Canis lupus familiaris: one gene and its partners. The protein of the gene in region 1 binds, or shares a complex with, the protein of each later gene. Links are inferred from orthologs where the notes say so. Each region holds a gene or a part of one and is shown on either strand. Other genes may lie near its edges.

Region 1 (4,070 bases):
AGAGAGAACTGCAAGTAGAGATTCAGCTAGGTGGTCCTATTAGGTACAGACGCTGGTCGGCCAGGCCTCGGTCTTCATTTTTTTATTCATGATAGACATAGAGAGAGAGGCAGAGACACAGGCAGAGGGAGAAGCAGGCTCCATGCAGGGAGCCCGACGCAGGACTCGATCCCGGGACCCCAGGATCACGCCCTGAGCCAAAAGGCAGGCGCTAAACCCCTGAGCTCCCCAGGGATCCCCCAGGCCTCGGTCTTTTAAAACCCACCCCAACAATTTACCTTTCTAGGTAGTTTATCAGACTCCGGGATATGGCAGCAGTTTTAATTGCTCCGTTGTTGAGCGTGTTAACTCCCTGCACGTTACCCGATTAATCTGGGGTCTTCTCCCAGGTCTAAACTATCACGGGGCTCTTCTACTTGAACAGTTTGTCTGGTCTGTGCCGTCAGGGGCAGTAGGCACCTTTGAGGTCGCTGCCTAGAACGACCTGTGATGACTTGGAAACCTCCCTAAAGACAACAACAGAAAAGCAACAGACCTCCTCCCGGGGAAAGCCTGTGTCACGCCCGCTCGGGCTTGGGGCTGGGGCTGGGGAGCCCCCCGGGTGCGGAGGCTGGTGCACCCCCAGGCGAGCGGCGGCGTGGACTAGTCCCGCGCGGGGGAGCTGTCTGCCGGATGTCAGGGTCCCTAAGTGCCCGGAGTCGCCTCCCACAGTTGCTCCCCGCATGTTTATTTACTTGCTCGACCGGCGGTAACTGAACGCGCCCGAGTGCGGCGGGCGGCGGCCTCCTCGCGGCTTCTCCGCGTGCTCCCGAAGGGCGTGCGGCGGGGTCGCTCCCCGCGGGCTCCCGGCGCGTGCAGGCCCCCCGCCCCCCGCCCCCCGGCCGGTGCGGATCTGCGGCCGCAGTCCCGGGGCGGGCCGCCGCGTGGGTGCCGCCCAGACCGCCGAGGCTGCGCCGGCCCGGCTCCCCCGCCCCCCGCCGCCCGCCGCCCGCCGGCGCGGCCCCTCCTCCTCCTCCCCTCCTCCTCCTCCTCCTCCTCCTCCTCCTCCTCCCCGGCGGCGCTCGCGGGCTCCCTCTCTTCCCTCTTCCCACACCGCCCTCAGCCGCTCCCTCCCCGCACGCCGGTCTGGCGAGGAATCGAGCGCCGCGCGCATCGATGGTCCTGCCCTCTGCGGCCGCCAGGCCCCGAACCCATCGGTGAGCTCGGAGCTCGATTTCCCTAGGCGGCGGCCGCGGCGGCGGAGGCACAGCGGCGGCGGCGGCGGCGGCGGCGGCGGCGGCGGCGGTGGCGGCTGCCCGGCCAGTACTCCCGGCCCCCGCCATTTCGGACGGGGAGCTAGCGCGGCGCGGGCACTGAAGGCGGCGGCGGGGGCCAGAGGCTCGGCGGCTCCCAGGTGCGGGAGAGAGGTACGGCGCGGACCACCCCTCCCGGGCCCCTGCCCCGGTCCCGACCCTCCTCGCCGGCGCCGGGCGGGGCCGGCGGCGAGTGAATGAATTAGGGGTCCCCGGAGGGGCGGGGCGGGGAGGGGGCGCGGGCGCGGGCGCGGGGCCCCGGCGGGCGGGCGGGCGGGCGGGGCGGGGGCGTCTGCAGGGGGAGGCGCGGGGGCGCGGGGACGCGGCGACGCGGGGAATGAGGAATGGGCGGTGCGGGGCTGAGCAGGGTGAGGCTGGAGGCGGCCGCCGCCGGGGCTGCTTCCTGGACGGGGAACCCCTTCCTTCCTCCTCCCCGAGAGCCGCGGCCGGAGGCGGCCGGGTGCGGAGAAACTCGCGGGCTGGGCGGGCTGCCCCTCGGGGCGGCCGGGTGCGGTGGAGGTTACTCCCGATGCTCTCCAGGCTCCCCTCCCCCTCGTCCTCTCTCTCTCTCTCTCTCTCCCTCTCCCTTCGCTCCCGCACCTCTTCCTCCCTTCCCAGCCCTCGGCTGCCTCGGTTACTGCCTCCTCCTCTGCTGCATCGAGCATCTCTAGGACGGAGGCATAAACTTCTCCCTCGAGCGCAGACCGGACGGATAGTGGTCCTTTTCAGAGTATAGGGTGGGTATGGGAGTAATAGGAGAAGGTCACGTTTCGGAAGAGCCGAGGAAAGTGCTGAGGAGACCACTGTTGGTGGTTATTGTGTTTGGAAAAAAAAAAAAAAAAATGCATCTGCAGCCGAGTTCCTGACTGCTCCCCTCCCCCATGTATGGGCTGTGACATTGCTGTGGCCACAAAGGAGGAGGTGGAGGTAGAGATGGTGGTGGAAGAACAGGTGGCCAACACCCTGCAACGTAAAGCCCGTGACTTCGTGAAAAGGAAAAAGTTAATCCCAGAAGGTCTGTTTTGCTTTGTCAAGTTAAAACACACACACACACACACACACACACACACACACACACACACACAAAACCCGCAGAGCAGAAACAGGGCTTTTTCCTTGCTAGTTGAGTGTAGACAGCAATAGCTAGAATCCTACTTAAAGTTTAATTTGCCTGTTCTTGTCCTTTCCCGTGTCTCTTGTATATTACCTTTGTCCTCACAAATTTGACCCCCATCCCAAGAAGTACTACTAAATGGCACTCACACACATTTTTTTTTGTTTTTTTAAATTGACTTGCAAAGAGGACTTAATTGTAGCAGTCTCCCAGCCAACTGCCTGAAATACTCTTAAGCATGTGTATGCTCTAGCAGAAGTCCTAAGCTACCTTCTTAAGTCTTGGCATTTATCAAAATAAGAGTTAAAGCAGAAAGGTACTTTCTGATTTTTATACAATATACATGTTATATTTGTAGTGGGGAAAAAAAATCATTTACATAGAAATTACAAAGGGAAAAATTCTGTTCCTAATCATCATCTCAGAATCAACCATATGAGTGATGTCACTCTTAGGTGACTAAGGTCCAACGTGCTGACTCGACCATATGATAGACTATAGACACCAAATACGGTTGATATCAATACTGTTTACTTTGAGACTGTAGACATCCACAGCCATACTTGATTTTAAGAGACTGTAGATGAGAGGATAATTCAGTTTTATGATTCAAGTGACTTTCTTTTTCCTGTAACAAAACACTGGGTTCTAGTCCCACTTTACCCCTCTGTAGCTATGGGTGAGGGCGGCTCTTTCTGGGCTATGATCTTCAGTAAGACTCCGTGGGAACCCAGTTCTGTCTAGTGGATTTAAATATTATTTGGTTTCTAAAATCCAATACAGGGATTTTTTTTTTTTTCTTCCCCAGAAACAACGGCTGCATAAACAGGTAGACACCAGAAGGTGTGTGTCTCTCAGAATTCACACAGTTAAGCTCTAGTCTGGCATCTGTCCACAGTATCTCCTAGGCTATCAAACTTTTTAGTTGAAAGGACACCTTATACTCTTGAAAATTATTGAAGATCCCCATATGGGGTGTGTCGATACGTACCCTAATACAAATTAAAACTGAGAATTAAAAAAATTGGTTAATTCATTTAAAAATAGAAATAATAAGCCTATTACTTGGTAACATAATAGCATTTTTATGAAAACGGTTTTTCAAAACAGAATAGTGGCATTGTTTCACATTTTTGCTAATTTCTTTAACTATATTGCTTAATAGAAGACATCTGTATATCTGGTTCTGTGTTCACTGTATTGTGATCACGCCTGGAAAACTCTGCACTTGTGCAAAGAGTGGAAAGGGTAAATAACATTGTGGTAGTAATAGTATTGTTACTATTAGTGTGGTTTTGACCTCTTGGACCCCCAAAAGTTTTAGTAATGCTACTGGATTCTCTTGGATGACAGTTTGATTAACTACTGTTCTAGGCTATCCAAATTGTTGAGGGGGAAGGATAGGCAGAGAGGTGGCGTACATTTTGGTGTGATTCTTCTCATTGTTCCCCATTTCCTATGGCCTGTTGGAATAAAAAGTGGGAGTGAACAGGATAAGATACATGCTTGTAGAGGCTCCCATGATGGCCTAGCACATAAGGCTAGGTGGCACAGAATAGGCCACGGAGCTGTAATATAACAATTGTGTAGCCTAACTGTTCTTTGTGAGAAGACTAAAATAGCTTAAGGAGGTAACGGTTAATATGTTATCATTTGGAAAATCA
Region 2 (4,110 bases), on another chromosome or scaffold:
ACTTTGCTTTCGCAGAGCACCTCCAACAGGTCCCCAGTGGAACTGTGGCGTTGTGTGTGCAAAAGAGCATTTGGGTGTCAAGGTGGTTGTGGTTGTTTTTTTTTTTTCCTGTATGAGCTAAGAGATCAATCACATATTTGAAAACATGGGGGAGGATATGTGGAGTATTTGTTGGTGACTTCAATGTTGTGTGATGTTGCCCTGGGGCCTCCTCCCTCCCCTTTTTCTTTTTGCCAAGGTGCATTTTTGAGAGGCTTTCTAGGCCATCTCTTAGGAGAGAGATCATATTGCACAACCCGGGTCTTTCTTTCCCCTTCACGGTGTCTTCCTCCAACCATTCTGTCAGGAGACACAAGGCCAACAGCGAGCTCCTGTTCTGTGCCAGTCCTCTTAGCTCATGGAAACCTCCCTTCAGTTCTTTAAAAAAAAAAAAAAAATTTTTTTCATTTTTGAAATATAGAAATCTGAAATATTGAAATTTGAAATATTGAAATATAGACGACACACACACACACACACACACAATCACTTCCCTGCAGTTCTTGAGGAAGATAGTTATTCCCATTTTACAGATAATAGAGGTAACAACTAACATTCTTACTAGGTGTTTACGTCGGGCACTGTGCTAAATGCTTTACAAGTATCGTCCCATTCGATTCTCACAGGAATACTCTAAAATCGGAACTACTGGGGAACCCTGGGTGGCTTAGCGGTTTGGCACCTGCCTTTGGTCCAGGGTGTGATCCTGGAGTCCCGGGATCAAGTCCCACATCAGGCTCCAGGCATGGAGCCTGCTTCTCCCTCTGCCTGTGTCTCTGCCTCTCTCTCAATCTCTCAGTCTGTGTCTCTCATGAATAAATAAATAAAATATTTAAAAAAAAAATAAATAAAATCGGAACTACTGTCCGGATGACACAACCGACAGCCAGGACAGGGGTCTTTCCGAGGCTACACAAGGTGCGGTTGGCATTTGAACCCAAGTCTTCGTGACCTAGAGGCGGAGCTGTCTCATCACTCATTTCTGGATGGGTTGAGGGCTTCTTTCCATGCAGAACCAAGGAAATGTGAGCGCGAACCCCAATGCTGATCCCTATCCGACGCGAATCCACGGATCAGCGCGTCCCGCCGCATCCCCAGCTCGCAAGCTCCGACCCCGGCCTCACACCGACCGCAGAAGGGCCGCGCATGCGTACCACCACGTCCCGCTCGGCCCCGCCCCCCGGGAGGGCTCCTCTCCGAGCCGTCGGCTCTGGGGCTTGCGCACTGCGCACTACGTCCCCAGCTCCGGCTTCTTCCCGGTCGGGGACTTCCGGTGCGCGGGGTGCGGTTCCGGGTCGTGGCGCGACTTGGGGCAACAGGGTTGCTGCTCCGGCGGCGGCGTTGGTGGCGGCGGCGGCGAGCGACGGGGGCATGAGGGCGAGCCAGAAAAACGGCAGTTGAACCGGCGGGGAGGAGCGCCAGTCCCCGAGGATTCCGAGAGTGCGGAGGCCGGGGCAGGGACCGGGAGGCGCGGGGAAGCCGGGCCCTTCCCTCAGGAACGTATCCCCGGGCCGATCCGACCCGTAGTGTGGCAGCAGCTTCAGGTAAAGGTTGCCCCAGCCGCTAGCTTCCTCGCTCACTCTCGGGTCAACCTACCCGAGGAGCCAAGCGGCCCTTCTGGGCGCTGCCCTGCGTCGGTAGCCTGCCTGGCCCTTGATCAGGGCTTCATTGAGCATCCGTTTCCTGATCTTTTCCAGAACTGGAGGCTGCTGTGAGCCTGACAGCTTGGGTGTCTGATTGGGGGAGGAGAAGCCCGTGGACTGGGTAGTGTTGGGTGGGGGGGAGGGTTGGCTCTGACAGTTTCTGGTCCTACCACCTGGCAACATGTAGTTGTCCTAATCTTCGTAACATGAAAATTGTGTTTAAAGCATTGTCTCTGTGGTCCCTGTTTCCTTAGCGTTCCTTTTCCACAATTGTCCCAAAGGAGTAAGCGGCCTCGCAACACTTTTTTTTTTTTTTTTATTTTTTATTTCTAGCTGGAGTGCTGCTGGAACTTGGATTCAGCTTTTTATGAGAATGGCAAAGGGGTCTTCTAAATCTGGTTAAGGCTAAACGAACAAACAAAAAACAAAAAAGTAGTTTAAACAAGATTATTACTTTTAACTGGAGACTCAAAAGTTGACTCAGAAATTGGTTGAGATTTTATTTGGAATGAATGCACCTAATTTTTGAAGCCTGTTCCATACAGTACTTGGCACGGTGCGAAGCATCATGTTTTAAACCAAAACCATCGAAGTTCAAAGCTTCCCAGATGTGAACAAATGGAGACAGGTCTTAACACATGGCAGTTCAAACAAAGTCAACATTCTCATTCTATGTCTCACAAGTAAAAGGGGTGGATTGTTCATTTAAAATCCTAGTATAACAGGAAAAGTTGGCACCATGTTTTATTCCTCATTCGGTGAGCCCATACAAGGTGCTTAGTCAATGCTGAAAGAATTCTTGATGAACATTGATTATTGTGTTCATCTTTTTCAGTTTACACACTTGCTGGGGCCTGCGAGGCATGCTTGTGGCCCCTTTGTCATTTAGCTTTATGCTCATATCTACTTTCAATCACTGTGGTGCCAGGCTACTCACATTCTACGCCTCTTGATGTGGCTCCAGCTATGCTTGAAAAAGTCCCCTTCCTTAATTCTATACCCTGATCCTTTACTCTAGATAAGTAGCACCTCAGATCCCATTTGTTTTCTCTTTGTCCATTGTTTTTTTGTAGGACATTCTCCTTGCCTAGATTTCTCCTTTTGTTTCTACTCATTGAGATGTTACCTAGGGCCCAGCAGAAATTGGTCTCCCTCCACCAATTTGAGACAACCCCAGTTGGGAAAGATTTCTTTTTTGGAATCCTATAAATACTCATATCTATAATAATTTCACTTAGCAAACATTTACTGAACACATACACATGCACCAGGTACCATGCTAGACAATGTATGGATAAGTAAGACTCAGTCCTTGCCTGTGGGGAGCTCAATTTAGTGAGAGAGATAAGGAAATAATTTCAAGACAGTGATAAGTACACTGTGTGAAGGTACTTTCTGTGATGCAGTGATAGCATGGGGGTGAGGGGGGGTATTAACTTTCGAGGAGTGTGCTATGATCAGGTAATGCTTCATGATGTGGTTATTTACCATGTGCTGAAACTATATTTAGGTTTCTCTTAATCATTTTAGCCTCAATTTACAGATTAGGAAGATTCGGGATAAATTACACATTTGGTACGAGACAGGCAGGATTTAACCCCACGTCTGTCCCATGCCTACATCTGTGCATTTTTCATTATGTGTTTCCTTCTTTCACACACCATAACACTATATACAAGTATATATTGAAGAAACTATAAAAGAGAAAAAATATGAATGCCAAAATGAATGTTACAGAGAGTCTTTTATTTTATTATTATTATTATTATTTATTATTTTTAAAGATTTTTTATTTTATTCATGAGAGACAGAGAGAGAGAGAGAGAGAGGTGGAGACACAGGCAGAGAGAGAAGCAGGCTCCGTGCAGGGAGCCTGATGTGGGACTCGATCCCAGATCTCCAGAATCAGGCCCTGGGCTGAAGGCAGCGCTAAACTGCTGAGCCACCAGGGCTTCCCGAGAGTCTTTTTTTTTTTTTTTTTTAATAAAGATTTTTATTTATTTATTCATGATAGATATATATATAGAGAGAGGCAGAGAGACACAGGCAGAGGGAGAGGCAGGCTCCATGCAGGGACCTGACATGGGTCTCGATCCCGGGTCTCCAGGACTGTGCCCTGGGCCAAAGGCAGGCGCTAAACCACTGAGCCATCCAGGGATCCCCCCTCCCCCAGAAGAGTCTTTTAAATGTAGAGAAAACTGTGATCTTTCAAGGCGAGAAGGTAGTAGGTGGGTCAGTTCAACTTTCAATATAAGAATGGAAGACCTTCTATAGAGAATAACGTGGTCTCTGGATTTAATTCCTGTCCCTACTCTTATTCCTTGACCTTTGGCAAGTTTCTTAATTCCAGTCATTATTTTCTTCAAGTATGGGTTGGTATAGGGGGATAATATTGATCTCATGGAGTGTTGTGAATATTTAATGAGCT
Region 3 (4,164 bases), on another chromosome or scaffold:
GAACACCAGGACATCCGTGGGGTCAGCAGGGGGATCGCCGGGGAGGGCCAGGGGCTTAGGAAGGTCGGGGGCCTGGGGGTCCACCCGGAACCGGAGGTTGCGGATGAGGTCAGCGCTGCCCCCCCCAACACCCTCCCCTGCTGCATACCCTGTCCGAAGCAAGAAGCTCTCAAGCCGGTCAAGCTGGCCCTTGACCTCAGAGCCAAAATCCTCAGGGTGAGAGGCCAGCCAGGTTGACAGTACAGAGGTGGCTACCCTGGGAGAAGGGGAATCAGCCAGGGGTCAGCTATCAAGCTGCAGCTCAGCCAGAGGGGACTGTGAGGTTAACAATCAGCGGTCACTCACCCTATTGTCCTCTCTAGTTCATCAGTAGGATGAGATTCGAGGGCTTCCAGCCTAGGAAGGAGAAGAGATTCGATCTGCCCATTTTCCCCAAGCCCCCAGTGGCTTTGACTATTCTGGGGGGATTTTCTGGCTTTAAGAAGTCCAGACACCTCCATGATCCTTGGTCCCTTATGACCCTGACCTGTCAGCCACAAGCCCTAGCAGGGCAGGGGTGGAAGTGAAGGCCCTGTGGGTGGCCAGGAAAGCTGGTGTGAAGGTCACGTCAGCCCCTGATGTCCGGGCATCCAGCAGGTGTCTGACCAGGGCCTCCAGAGTGCCAGCTCGGAGCCTTCTGGAGGACCGAGGGGGAGGCGTCGGGGCCTGGGGGAGACAGAAGGAAAGTCACTGACCCTGTTTTCAACTTAGCCCCTAGACCTCTGGGGAAAATCCCAGACTCAGGAAATGCTGGGGGCTCGTTATACGAAGATTCAGAGACGGCCAAAAACTTGATTGACCAAAGTCACACGGCAGAGTTCAGGTCTCCAAAGAGTTGGCCAGAGGACAGGAGACTGGGAGGTCATGGGTCAGAGGTGAGAAGCCAAAGTTAGGATCTCACCAAGGGATCAAGAGGCCGATACTGGCGGCTTGTGACAGTAAAGGTGGCACCATTCTCCTCCTCATCCCAGACAGACACAGGGGCCTGGCAGAGCAAGGAAGGGGAGGTGAGACAGTCCCACGCCACCCCCTACTGCCCCCAGCCCTAATCCTCCCTCTGTACCCCTCACCTGTGGTGGCGGGGAACAGTACCAGCGAGTGCGAGGGGTGGGGGGGGCTGGTGACCCCAGGTCTCCCCCACTGGGGCCTAGACAGCCCCCCCCAAGCCGCCTCAGGGCCCGGTGGAGTCGAGGGGGTGGCAGTGGGGGGGTGGGTGGAATGCAGGAACCCTGGGCCCGGAGACCTCTGTCGCCCTTTCCCCCCAGAGCTGAACCCCAACACAGCAGAGAAGCAAGGTGCGAAGGATAGGAGGGGGAAGCGAGAAAGGCAGAAAGCCAGAGGCAGAGGCCTTGAAAGCTGGAACCTCAGTCACGGGCACAGCCGCAAGCTCCGCCCTCCCCCGCAGGAACTGACCGAGCCCCAAGAGTTACTCCTTCAGGGGAGCCCCCCTTCCCTGGTCCCTCAGTGCTGGGAGACCCCCTCAAGGTGGCGGCTCCAATGCCAGTACAGGAAGGAGAAGGGGAAGTCGGGATGATGGGGAGGGGGGTTGTGCAGCCGACTCAGGGTCACGTGGCCCCAGCCCCTCCCGCAACCGATCCCGAAAAACCAGCCCTGCCAGTCACCCTGCCCTCACCCAGGCTCTGGACCCAGGAGTCCTGGGCCTCGGGGCCCCGAATCCAATTTCTGGCCCCTTCTGGGGCCCCGGATCCCGCTCCTGGCCACCACCATTAGTCCCGGCGGAGAGCAGGTGACCCCCCCGGCCCAGCCTGGGATGTTCCCTCCAAAGTCCGAGAACCCGGGCTTCCCGCCTCCACTCGCGGCCCAGCGGGAGAGGGGGAGGGGTCACGAAATCGAAGGGTTCCCTCCCCAATCCCGGAGTCGGAGAGGCCGGTTACTGTGGAAACAAACCCCACCCCGCCAAACAAAAACACGGAGGGCGACGGGGACCGAGACACGACGGCCGGAAAGGCTGGCGCCCTGGGGCCGGGGCGGGGAGAGCCAGGGAAGGTTCCCGCGGGCCAGTGCTGAGTCCCACCGCCAGCGGGAGCCCCAGGAACTCCGGGACTCCCCGCCGGGCCGACTGGCAGACACCCAGCAGGAGGCCGGAGGGAGAGAGGAGGGACAGAGACCCGAGGGCGAGGCAGAGCGTCTCCGACATGTCCACCTCCCGACTTCCCACCACTCGCGTCTCACCTCGTCTTCTTCCTCCTCCTCCTCTTCCTCCTGCCCCCCGCCCACGCCCCGGCCACCTGGGCCCCCACCCTCTTCGGGGTCTCGGCTCCGGAAGCTGCTCAGCACGACTCCCCCGGGGGGACTCGCGTCCCAAAGCAGCCGCAGGGGCCGCGGGAGCATGGCCGAGTGAAGGAATCAGCGGGGTCGGGCCATGGGGGCGCCTGGGGAGAAACGGGGGGGCAGGTGGAGAGTCAGGTGGGCGCGGGGGATCGGGGAGGGGAGGGACGCGGGTGAGTGCCCAGGTGACCGTACGGGAGTTTGGGGAGGGAAGCAACACAGGAGTGGGCTATGGGGGTCCCTGGTGCATCTGGGGTTTGGGGGTCACGAGTACGGGAACGGGCAGGGTCACAGGGTGCTCAGGCTCTGACCTGCTCGGGAACGGTGGGAGCAGCGCGGGTCCCGGGCCGCTGTTCCCGTCGGTCTCCGGTCCCCAACCGAGTCCCTGGCCCGAGTCCCCTCCTCGGCTTTTCCGCACCCCCGTTACCGCCCGCCAGGCTCCCGGGCCCTCCCGCCCTTTCCGCTCGCCCCCTCCCCCCCCCACGTCCGCCTGCTCCAACTGCAGGAGCCAAAACGGGAAGGAAGTGAGGACAGGAGCCAGGGCCGCGGACTCGGGGAGCGCCGGGCGCCCAGCGGCCAGGCCCCAGCAGTCACGGGCCCCCGCCCGCTGTCCTCGGAGCCCCCGCTCAGGGATCCTGGAGCCCACGCCGCCCCGCACTCAATCCGAGTGGATTCCCGTCTCCCGACCCCGAGGGAGGATAGGAGCCGGATTTGACATTCCCCTGCCCCCCGACAACACCGAAGCTAAAACTCCCGGGGGAAGCGTTTTAGGCCGACAGGGATCGCTTACTCCCCCTGACGCGGTTACACTCCCCACCCGCACCCACGCCTGTAGCGGACCGGAATCCAGTCCGCGTTTTCCGAGAAGCGCGGGGTTCCCGCCCTCGCGTAAGGGGGCGGGGCAGGAAGCCGCCACTTCCGGTTCTCGGTTCCTCTGTCCCGCGTTTCCGGCGCTCTGCGTGGTACGTGCGCTCCCTTGGGCTCGCCCCGCCTTCCCCGGAGCCCGCGGCACCGGGCGTCTCGCCCGCCGCTGGTGGCCCCCGACCCTGCAGCGTGCCGGGGACTGGGGTGTCGCCAAAGCGTTTGAGCGCTCGCGGTGAGGGCAGCCCGGGTGGCTCAGCGGTTTAGCGCCGCCTTCAGCTCAGGCCCTGATCCTGGAGTCCGGGGATCGAGTCCTGCATCGGGCTCCCTGCGAGGAGCCTGCTTCTCCCTCTGCCTGTGTCTCTGCCTCTCTGTGTCTCATGAATCAATAAATAAAATCTTTAAAAAAAAAAAAAAAAGAGAAGGGACCAGAGGTGGTTGTTAAGAGCCTGTGCTCCCTTGCCAGGGGGACCCGTGGGGTGGAAGGAGACACCCTGTTGGGAGCATAGGACACAACTTTATTCCCGCACGATTAATTTTTTTTTTTTTTTTATTTATGATAGTCACAGAGAGAGACAGAGAGAGAGGCAGAGACATAGGCAGAGGGAGAAGCAGGCTCCATGCAGGGAGCCTGACATGGGATTCGATCCCGGGTCTCCAGGATCGTGCCCTGGGCCAAAGGCAGGCGCTAAACCGCTGCGCCACCCAGGGATCCCTATTCCCGCACGATTAGACCCGCTTCGGTCTAATTGACCGTCCTCCCTTGGAGGTCCCTAGTCCGAGCTGCCACTTCCTTCCTCCAGTAGTTACTTCGTCCAACACTGGCTTTCAAATACAGAGGACGAAAAAAGGACTAATGTTTGCGTTGAGCGCCCTCCAGCGGGCACCGGGCCTGTGCGGGAGCAGGGACCACGCGGCGGACGGACGGACACGTTCCTGCCTCTGAGGAACCGGCAGTCCCGGGAGCGGACCTCT
Region 4 (4,299 bases), on another chromosome or scaffold:
GCCTGGGTATGGGGAGGAATAGTAAAAGAGAGAAGTAAGAGATGATTCCAAAGTTTTGAACCAAATAAAATAATAAAGCCCTAATCAAGAGGAATTTTTTAAATAGTCAGTGTAAGGGAGAGAGGTGACGGTTTTAGTTTGGGTATTCCCTCACCCATTTAGCCAAATTATGTGCCTACTAGATAAGTATCAGGCACTGAATGTGTGAAGGGTAAAAAGAGGGGTAAAATACCATTCCTATTCTCAAGGACCATCCAATCTAGTCCTGGGATGGGGGAGATGGCTAAATAGGAACTCACAACTCACTGAAGTGCTAGGGTTTGCTGCTAAAAGAAAATAAAGACTATCCAACTCAGCCCTGAGGATTTGAGAAAACACCTGAGTTAGTGTTGGCCAGGCAAAGGGCAGTCCAGGTTAAGAGAATAACATAACAACAGAGCCTCAGGTAAGAAAACACAAGTTGGGCACTTGTTTCTGCAAACAGTAAAATAAGTCTAAAGGAAGAGTTCAAAATAGGGAGCTATCCACATGAAATGTCTAGCAAGCAGGTGAAAATGCAGGTCTGAGCTGCCAGGAGTGCATCCAGATATGCAATAGATTTTCAACCTCATCTTAGGTGGCTTAGAGTCAAGAGCAGAGGCTATCTCAAATAAGAATTGGAAGAATCTTTACTTATCAGCTAGATTGTGTACACTTCCACCTCCCCCCATCACTTCTGTCATGCAAGGTTATCTCTGCTTCAAGTCAAAGCAGGTTTATGTAAATAGGCAACGAGGACCGGTGGGGACTGTGAAAAATTGGAGATGCATGCCCAGTCTAAAGAGGAAAGCCATTCACTCAGCTCCAGCAGTTTACGGTCTTGCCCAGTGGGGAGAGACCTTCCTATTCTTCAAGAAAAACTGAAAATTCAGATTTTACGTAACATCTCCCACGTTTAAATACTGGCAACTAATTACATTAAAAGTTTGTAAAAGAACACTGTGCCAGCCAAACAAAATGCTTCTATGGAAAATGCTTCAGCAAGGGCCACCAGTGTGGCAGTTAGACTTGATCTGCCAACTCCTACAGTGCTCTTTCCATTACTTCACAGTACCCTCAACTAACAGACTATCTTGATGGTTCCCTGGGACAGGAGTTGTTTGCTCCTAAGCCAAACAGCCCCAAACAGATTGGGTTTTATGAGTTCTTCTGTATGTTCTCAACAATGTCTCTGTCTCCTCCCCACTCCACCCCCACCTCCATCAGTACCAGGCTTCTATCATGACTGAGACCTCCTACTCCCCTCTTATAAGCTAAGACACCAAGATTACAGGTAAAGTAAAAAGAGTTGAGAGCCCTGATGGGATAGCTAATGAATACGGTATATAAGGAATATGGCATCTCTCTGGTTTTCTTAGAAAACAGTATCACAGAGATGCCTATTACTTACTCAGACACTTAAGGAAAAGAGTCAGTAACTTATATCTGAAAAAAATGAGCAAATTCGGCTAACTAAATAGTTTCCACTGTAAGCTTCCAAGGAGCTGTTGGGGGGGGGGGGGGGGGAGTGCTGCGTAGGGCAAAAGGGAAAGTAAAAGTTGCTGGCCTTTGGGAAACATCAGGCACCTTTTAAGACACAGTTTTTAAAAGTATAAATGTTTAGAACAAAAGGTACACCACAATCTCAACTCTCAGTAGGAGCAAAAATATTTTTAATAACATAAAAAACATTTTTTGAGCAACAAGAAATTGGGATTAAGCAACACTACTAAAGTAATCTATTTATAGAAAAGGTAAAAGGGAAACAAAAAAACACCGTTTTTATGTTCAAACACATCAGTTTCTGACGCTTTGGTGTTTGTCACAATGTTGCTTTAGAAGCTTTTAAAGTGTAGCAACAATTCCTAAATGTACTAAAACATTTTAAAAGCACAGATCATGGAGTGTACAACTTTAGATAACAATGTGGCAAACTTGAAAAAATACAGAAAGGCTGAAAATCCAAATTAACAAAGCAAGATAGAATGAAGATTCTCGGACGCTGGGGGGGGGGTGGGGGTGGGGGTTGGGGAGGGAGTAGCCTGTGCACCCGCCCCTGTTCCCCGGGGCAGTGGGGGAATCCGGGGGAATGAAGAGTGATTACAGAGGGCGAGCAGAGCAGGCCGTGTTCCGGCTGGCAGGCGAGCTCTGCAATTACCCAGAGCCAGCGGTGTGGCTAGAGCGTTCTCGAGCCCACCGAAAACAGCACACTGGACACCTAAAACTGGAGGCTGACAGCAGTTCCCCGGGCAAGACGGACAAGGCGGAAAAGTGGCCTGCTTTGACCTCCGCTGCAAGCTGAGCCTCCCCCAACTCCTGCCTGCGAGTCGGGGGGGCAGGACAGTCACCTCTCCGAGGCTGGATGATTCGGACAAACTCTGCCTGGCTTCCCGAGGCCTTCCCACACACCCGGTGAATGTCAACAGCGAGCCGGCGAGCGTGGGGGAAGCCTCCCAGGCCGGGAAGAAAGACGGCCCAGCGCGCGCCCCGCCTCCCCGGCCCGGCCCTTCCCCGGCCCTTCCCCGGCCCTTCCCCGGCCCTTCCCCGGCCCTTCCCCGGCCGCGGCCCCGCGCCCTCGCAGGGGCTGCAAGCCGGGAAGCAGGGTCCCGCGCGCGCTCCTCACCTTCTTCAGCGCCGGCACCAGCAGCCCCCGCCACTTGGGTGCGTTCTCCTCGCTGAAGAACTCGTACGGCAGCTGCTGCGCCTGCATGGTGCCCCCGGGGCGCCTCTGGGCGGGGAGAGGGGCGGCGGCGGCCGGGCCGGGGAGCCGCGAGAGGGCGAGCTCGCAGCACCCAACAGGCCCGCGGCCCCGCCGGACGGCCCGGCCCCCTCGGGGCGCCGCGCGGCCGGGCTAGCCCCGCAGAGGCGGCTGACGGGCGAGGCCCGCGCCCGGCCAGCCACCCGACACGGGCACCCGCGGCGGACAGCGAACGCAGCCCGGAGGCGGCGGCGGCGGCATCCCGCACCACCGCCCCGGGGCCGGGCCCCCCCCGCCCCTCCCCGGCCCGCCGGCGCCGCCCCGGGCTGCCCTCCGCCGCGGCCGCCGCCCGCCGGGGCTACGCTCCCGGGCCCGGCCTGGCCCCGCGGCGCGGCCGGCGGCTGGGGGAGGGCGTGTGGAGGGACACTCCGGCCGCGGCGCCCGCTCCGCGCGGCGGGGACCCCGAAACGCAAGCGGCCCGGGGCGGAGCGGGGCCGGGGCGGAGCGGGGGAGGGGAAAGGCCCGAGGTCGTCGTCGGAGGATCCGGCTGCCCGGAGGTGCCGCCGCCGACGCCGGTGTAGCGCTCCAGCTTCCTACTAGCGAACTGAACCTGCTCGCTACTGAGCATGCGCCGCCCGGCGGGGCCGGTTCGCTCCGGGTTTTCCGGCTCCCCAGCGGAGGAGGAGGGAAGCGCGGGAGGGGGGGCGCCCCCGAGGACTGCAGGGGAGGAGCCAAACGGCCCCGAGGCGTCGAACCCTGGCCTGCGGGGTGGGGTGCGAGCTACCGCGAAGCAACCCCCATTGTGTGCTTGGGTCGCGAGGGCTCCCACCTCTCGGGAGTCCCCGGGCCTTTAGTTTCGGAAAGGGGCGTGTGTGTGTGTGTGTGTGTGTGTGTGTGTGTGTGTGTGTACTTTGTTCCTGAACATGAAGACCTGCCCAGGGCATGCAATGTATAGTAAACAGACTGGACAAAAGATAGGTGCTTTTCTCACGAAACCTACTGCTCGATATTTGTCGGGTAATAGAAGTGATTGCAGTATTTCCCATACGTCTCCCCACCCCCGACCCCAAGATTTATCACCAAGAATAAAATGCGTACCTGCAGCGTAGATTTTGCGTGTGCGTTTTGAGTTCAATATGTTCATCTTTCAAAGCCACTTAAATTTGAACGCCTTTGAATAAATTATTTATTTAAGGTGATTCTTAAAGAATCACCTCCGTGGAAACAGACCTCTTTCGCAGCTCCCAGGTCCCAGAACGTGGGGCACTTGGTTTATCTGTTTTGTAATCTCTCCTGGCTCTCTGAACTAGATAGCAAACTCCTGCAAGGCAGATCTTTTGCACCACGGGCTCTACACAGAATAGGCACTTAGTGAATGTTTGGGGAGCGCTAAAGGAGCATTATCTACAAACTGTTCATCTCAGGGATGCAGGTGTTTAACAACGGCACTGTGTGGCTGGCCCTCACGGTTTACCATTAAGTGCTTTTTGAGCACAATCTCGTTTAATACTCATAGCAATCCCATTGTATTCATTTCACAGATGAGACAGTTTAGAGAACTAGCTTTGGTTAAAGTTGATACT
Region 5 (3,508 bases), on another chromosome or scaffold:
GAGAGAGAGAGAGAGAGAGGCAGAGACACAGGCAGAGGGAGAAGCAGGCTCCATGCACCGGGAGCCCGACGTGGGATTCGATCCCGGGTCTCCAGGATCGCGCCCTGGGCCAAAGGCAGGCACCAAACCGCTGCGCCACCCAGGGATCCCAAAATTTTTTTTTAAGATTTTATTTATTTATTCATGAGAGACACACAGAGAGAGGCAGAGACACAGGCAGAGGGAGAAACAGACTCCATGCAGGGAGCCCAACGTGGGACTTCGATCCCGGGTCTCCAGGATCACACCCTGGGCTGAAGCATTCTCTAGTAACAACACTGATTTAAGTTTCCACTAAGATGTAACTGAATGCAACTACATGTTGGGGTTTTTGTTTGTTTGTTTGTTTGTTTGTTTGTTTTGAGAACAGATTTGACAGGAGAGCAGGGAGTGTGAAGGGGATGAGGTTGGGGGATGAGGTTGGAACCCCAAGAATCAGGAAAGGTTCCAGGTTCCATTTGCTGGGGTGCAAATGCAATTTCATCCATTCTACCATCTTTCAGAATGGAGTCTGGAGTTCCTGTTTCGTGTGCTGAGTCCTTCAGCTTTTGGGTTGAAATCCAGATGGTTATTAAAGTGATCTTTTTTTCTCACTTCTTCAGTCTCTGCCCTGTGTGATTTGCTAATGGTGGAGCTTATCTATAATAAGGCTCAGGTGAATTTAGCTTCAGGCTCTTCTGCTTCACCCATACTTAACTTGAGGTGGGAAACCGAAAGCTGCCCCAAACATCTTGAGAATTCCAAGGACTTTCTTAGAATTCTGAGGACTTCATCGGCACTCCTGACACCCAGAGGGTGCATTCTACTTCCCCAAAGCCTTGTTTCATTCCCATTCCTTCCAGGTTTCTGGTTATAAACGGCCAGTCATTAAAAATTGCATCATTGGGGCTTAGGAAGTGGCTTGATTAGTCTTTACACCAAGCAGAGGTAGGAGGGGAGCCCAAGATGAGAGAAACCCCCAGAATGTAGCCTGACTTTGCCTAATCCATCTCTGTCCCTGGCCTAAGAATCTGGTTTATCAAAGGGTAACATGAGTCCTCTGAACTTAATAAAGAATCTCCAAACAGAGATGAAGCAGAGCTCCATTTCCCTCAGATTAATTGTGCTAATCATTTCTTCCCATGGGTTTTTAGAAGGATTCGCCATCTTCTTTCTCAGTGAAAGAAGTTCACTTTGACTCTACTAACAAGGTCATAAACACTGGCACCAAAGTACTCATTTTTTTCCCCTTCTGTGAGCAGATGGGTTTCCCAACACCATCTTCTTCAGCCTGGAAGAGGAAGAGGAACTGGAAGGTGGAGGGCCTGCAGAATTCACGTGCTTCCCAGAAGATCTCGTGGCGGAGCAGCTGACCTATATGGACGCAGTATGTATTCTTTCTGTGCCTGAGATGTGCTTCTACTTAAAATGTGGGGACTGACCATACCAGTGGCCTGGGGAGGGCAGTGGGGTAATGTGATTTAAGTCTTTTCTAATCCTTGAGAGAGGCTGTGCCTGTAAATGCAGAGAGAAGATGTGACTTGAATCAATCATCTGAATAATTCAGGCCTAAGCTCTCCTTGCAATTCTGGGGGAAGGTGCTTTTTTACTTGGCACTCGATACACGGAGGGAAGTAAGAATTCTAATTCTCGTGAAACAAAATCGACCCTGTTCCGTGGGTTTTTCTCTGCCTCTAGACTCATAAATATTTCAAGATCTGAACTGTTTATTTGGAGGATTGTAAAGCGGTCAAAGTATAAGTTAGGATAAAATAAGATCGCTGAATCCACATGTGACTCTATCTGCCAGTTCATTCCTATGTGTGCTCCCATGCTTTTAAAGTTTGAATATGTTTGTTAGCCATACAAATTTGATTAGTCACATGTCATAGTGCAATGGTAGCTGGTTAACACCAGTTAAAGAAAAGAGGGCCATTATAGATCATCCTGATGCTTTTAGCTCTTCTTCACTTACCGCTTTTGAAGAAAACAGAAGAGAGAGTGACAGTTTCCATCTAGTGAGCACACAAACTATCAGAAGCAAATCAGAGAGTCTACATAAAGTAAATCCTGGTGTTCTCTCTTCCATACAAACCCTTACATGTCTTGTATTGAGTTGTCATACAGATGAGAATCAGATTTGACCAACGAATTTGCCTTTGTTTTTGTTCCACAACTGACAGCATGAAAGAAAGGTAGGAAACTTCATTGGATGACTTTTAGGCAAAGACAGGCTATAAATTCCTTTCTTCCTTTTACTCTGTGACATTGAATGGGTTTTCCCTTTATATGCTTATTTTTTTTCATTTAAAATCATGTAAAATAGCAACATGATGACGATGTCACATGCACTGTACTTCTTTGGGTCACTTGTCGGGTGGTCATTGGGCATCCATACGCATCGTACACAGTTCATGATCTTGAGTGCCCAGAATGCACCATGAATATGAACCACTACTATAGATTTGTACCTGTTTTTTGAGATATAAGTCAAAATGTTGTCAGTCATTTAAAATGGTCTTTTGGCCATTGTGTTCCATTTGTTCAGTCCAGCAGATTTAGAAGGAACATGTGGGCTTTTCTGACCAGTTAATATATTAATTATTTACTCCTGTCCATTGAAATAGACACGGTTGAGGCAAGTCAAGTAGAAAAGGGTTGTTTGTGCATTTACAAAATATCAATTCACAGATGAGCCAGATGACATGCTTTGCTGAATGAAATGTCTGCGTGGTCCTTAAAGTCAGTTTCTCTTTTGTTCTAGCAACTATTCAAGAAAGTAGTGCCTCACCACTGCCTGGGCTGCATTTGGTCTCGAAGAGATAAGAAGGAGAACAAACATTTGGCTCCTACAATCCGTGCTACCATCTCTCAGTTTAACACGCTCACCAAGTGTGTTGTCAGCACCATACTGGGGGGCAAAGAACTCAAAACTCAGCAGAGAGCCAAAGTCATCGAGAAGTGGATCAACATTGCCCACGTAATTGTCTTTTTAAAAATATTCGTTGTTTTTATACTAGATAGTAGAGACTACTCCATCTCTCTGTTTAAATGGGTCTATGCAGTCAGTGGCAAGGCAATCAAATCATATGTGAACGACCATTGGGTTTTTTGTTGCTCTTATTGTTGTTCCTCCAAAGTAAGAAAAAAAAAATGCCTCTCTTAACTTAGGGGCTTCTTTTTCCTCTTTAAAGAAAATTGGTCCCTTGCATGCTTCTTCTTTCTGCTTACGGGCCTGCACACTGCTGTGTCTCCAGCACAGCGTCTGCTTTTCCCCTTATATTCACAAACTGAGTGTCAATTCTGCCTACGTTCAGTAAATTGAACTTGATATATTGTCTAAGTGTCAGATAGACTCTTCCACACAATGATTACCTACCTATGCACACTTCCAGCACCCAGAAGCGTTGTATCTTCTACAGATTTAAAGAGCTGGTGCTGTCTCAGAATCCTGAATCTCTTTGCTAAAGGACTGAGATGCACAGATTTT

Evidence for each region.
Region 2: the proteins of KRAS (region 1) and MAPKAP1 are in contact, whole or in part, in a crystal structure (PDB 7LC1), measured with the Homo sapiens proteins. The link is inferred for Canis lupus familiaris from reciprocal best matches to the Homo sapiens genes KRAS and MAPKAP1. Residues at the interface, in NP_001356715.1 of Homo sapiens: Ile21, His27, Val29, Glu31, Asp33, Pro34, Ile36, Glu37, Asp38, Ser39, Tyr40, Arg41, Leu56, Glu62, Glu63, Tyr64, Ser65, Ala66, Met67, Asp69, Gln70; in NP_001006618.1 of Homo sapiens: Phe280, His287, Gly288, Phe289, Ser290, Leu291, Ile292, Gln293, Lys307, Lys310, Arg311, Arg312, Lys313, Gly314, Ser315, Phe363, Glu365, Ile369, Val374, Met377, Leu378, Ser380, His381, Tyr484, Glu487, Ser488.
Region 3: the proteins of KRAS (region 1) and RGL2 are in contact, whole or in part, in a crystal structure (PDB 8B69), measured with the Homo sapiens proteins. The link is inferred for Canis lupus familiaris from reciprocal best matches to the Homo sapiens genes KRAS and RGL2. Residues at the interface, in NP_001356715.1 of Homo sapiens: Ile24, Gln25, His27, Val29, Glu31, Asp33, Pro34, Thr35, Ile36, Glu37, Asp38, Ser39, Tyr40, Arg41, Lys42, Tyr64; in NP_004752.1 of Homo sapiens: Ile651, Arg653, Glu660, Asp661, Gly662, Ser663, Val664, Tyr665, Lys666, Ser667, Ile668, Leu669, Lys685, Lys686, Asn688, Arg689.
Region 4: the proteins of KRAS (region 1) and SOS1 are in contact, whole or in part, in a crystal structure (PDB 8BE4), measured with the Homo sapiens proteins. The link is inferred for Canis lupus familiaris from reciprocal best matches to the Homo sapiens genes KRAS and SOS1. Residues at the interface, in NP_001356715.1 of Homo sapiens: Ser17, Ala18, Ile21, Gln25, Asp30, Glu31, Tyr32, Pro34, Thr35, Glu37, Tyr40, Asp54, Ile55, Leu56, Asp57, Thr58, Ala59, Gly60, Gln61, Glu63, Tyr64, Ser65, Ala66, Met67, Arg68, Asp69, Gln70, Tyr71, Arg73, His95; in NP_005624.2 of Homo sapiens: Lys602, Trp809, Thr810, Lys814, Leu822, Met824, Ile825, Arg826, Thr828, Thr829, Thr832, Leu833, Leu872, Val875, Ser876, Asn879, Ser880, Ser881, Pro882, Tyr884, Ser908, Asp910, His911, Tyr912, Lys913, Phe929, Phe930, Gly931, Ile932, Leu934.
Region 5: the proteins of KRAS (region 1) and RGL1 are in contact, whole or in part, in a crystal structure (PDB 7SCX), measured with the Homo sapiens proteins. The link is inferred for Canis lupus familiaris from reciprocal best matches to the Homo sapiens genes KRAS and RGL1. Residues at the interface, in NP_001356715.1 of Homo sapiens: Ile24, Gln25, Glu31, Asp33, Pro34, Thr35, Ile36, Glu37, Asp38, Ser39, Tyr40, Arg41, Leu56, Tyr64, Met67; in NP_001284600.1 of Homo sapiens: Ile651, Arg653, Asn660, Gly661, Asn662, Met663, Tyr664, Lys665, Ser666, Ile667, Met668, Lys685, Asn687.

Annotation. Positions count from the first base shown.
Region 1 is NC_049248.1:24,281,360-24,285,429, reverse strand, and holds the start of KRAS (GTPase KRas), read left to right. Parts: upstream 1-1,263; 5' UTR 1,264-1,406; intron 1,407-4,070. UniProt on the Homo sapiens protein: Ras proteins bind GDP/GTP and possess intrinsic GTPase activity. Plays an important role in the regulation of cell proliferation.
Region 2 is NC_049230.1:57,531,855-57,535,964, forward strand, and holds the start of MAPKAP1 (target of rapamycin complex 2 subunit MAPKAP1), read left to right. Parts: upstream 1-1,308; 5' UTR 1,309-1,583; intron 1,584-4,110. UniProt on the Homo sapiens protein: Component of the mechanistic target of rapamycin complex 2 (mTORC2), which transduces signals from growth factors to pathways involved in proliferation, cytoskeletal organization, lipogenesis and anabolic output.
Region 3 is NC_049233.1:2,891,197-2,895,360, forward strand, and holds the start of RGL2 (ral guanine nucleotide dissociation stimulator-like 2), read right to left. Parts: upstream 2,801-4,164; 5' UTR 2,640-2,800; intron 2,433-2,639; 5' UTR 2,392-2,432; coding exon 2,233-2,391; intron 1,025-2,232; coding exon 941-1,024; intron 706-940; coding exon 527-705; intron 397-526; coding exon 346-396; intron 257-345; coding exon 1-256. UniProt on the Homo sapiens protein: Probable guanine nucleotide exchange factor. Putative effector of Ras and/or Rap. Associates with the GTP-bound form of Rap 1A and H-Ras in vitro.
Region 4 is NC_049238.1:31,306,586-31,310,884, forward strand, and holds the start of SOS1 (son of sevenless homolog 1), read right to left. Parts: upstream 2,804-4,299; 5' UTR 2,729-2,803; coding exon 2,642-2,728; intron 1-2,641.
Region 5 is NC_049228.1:17,072,933-17,076,440, forward strand, and holds part of RGL1 (ral guanine nucleotide dissociation stimulator-like 1), read left to right. Parts: intron 1-1,280; coding exon 1,281-1,405; intron 1,406-2,782; coding exon 2,783-2,998; intron 2,999-3,508. UniProt on the Homo sapiens protein: Probable guanine nucleotide exchange factor.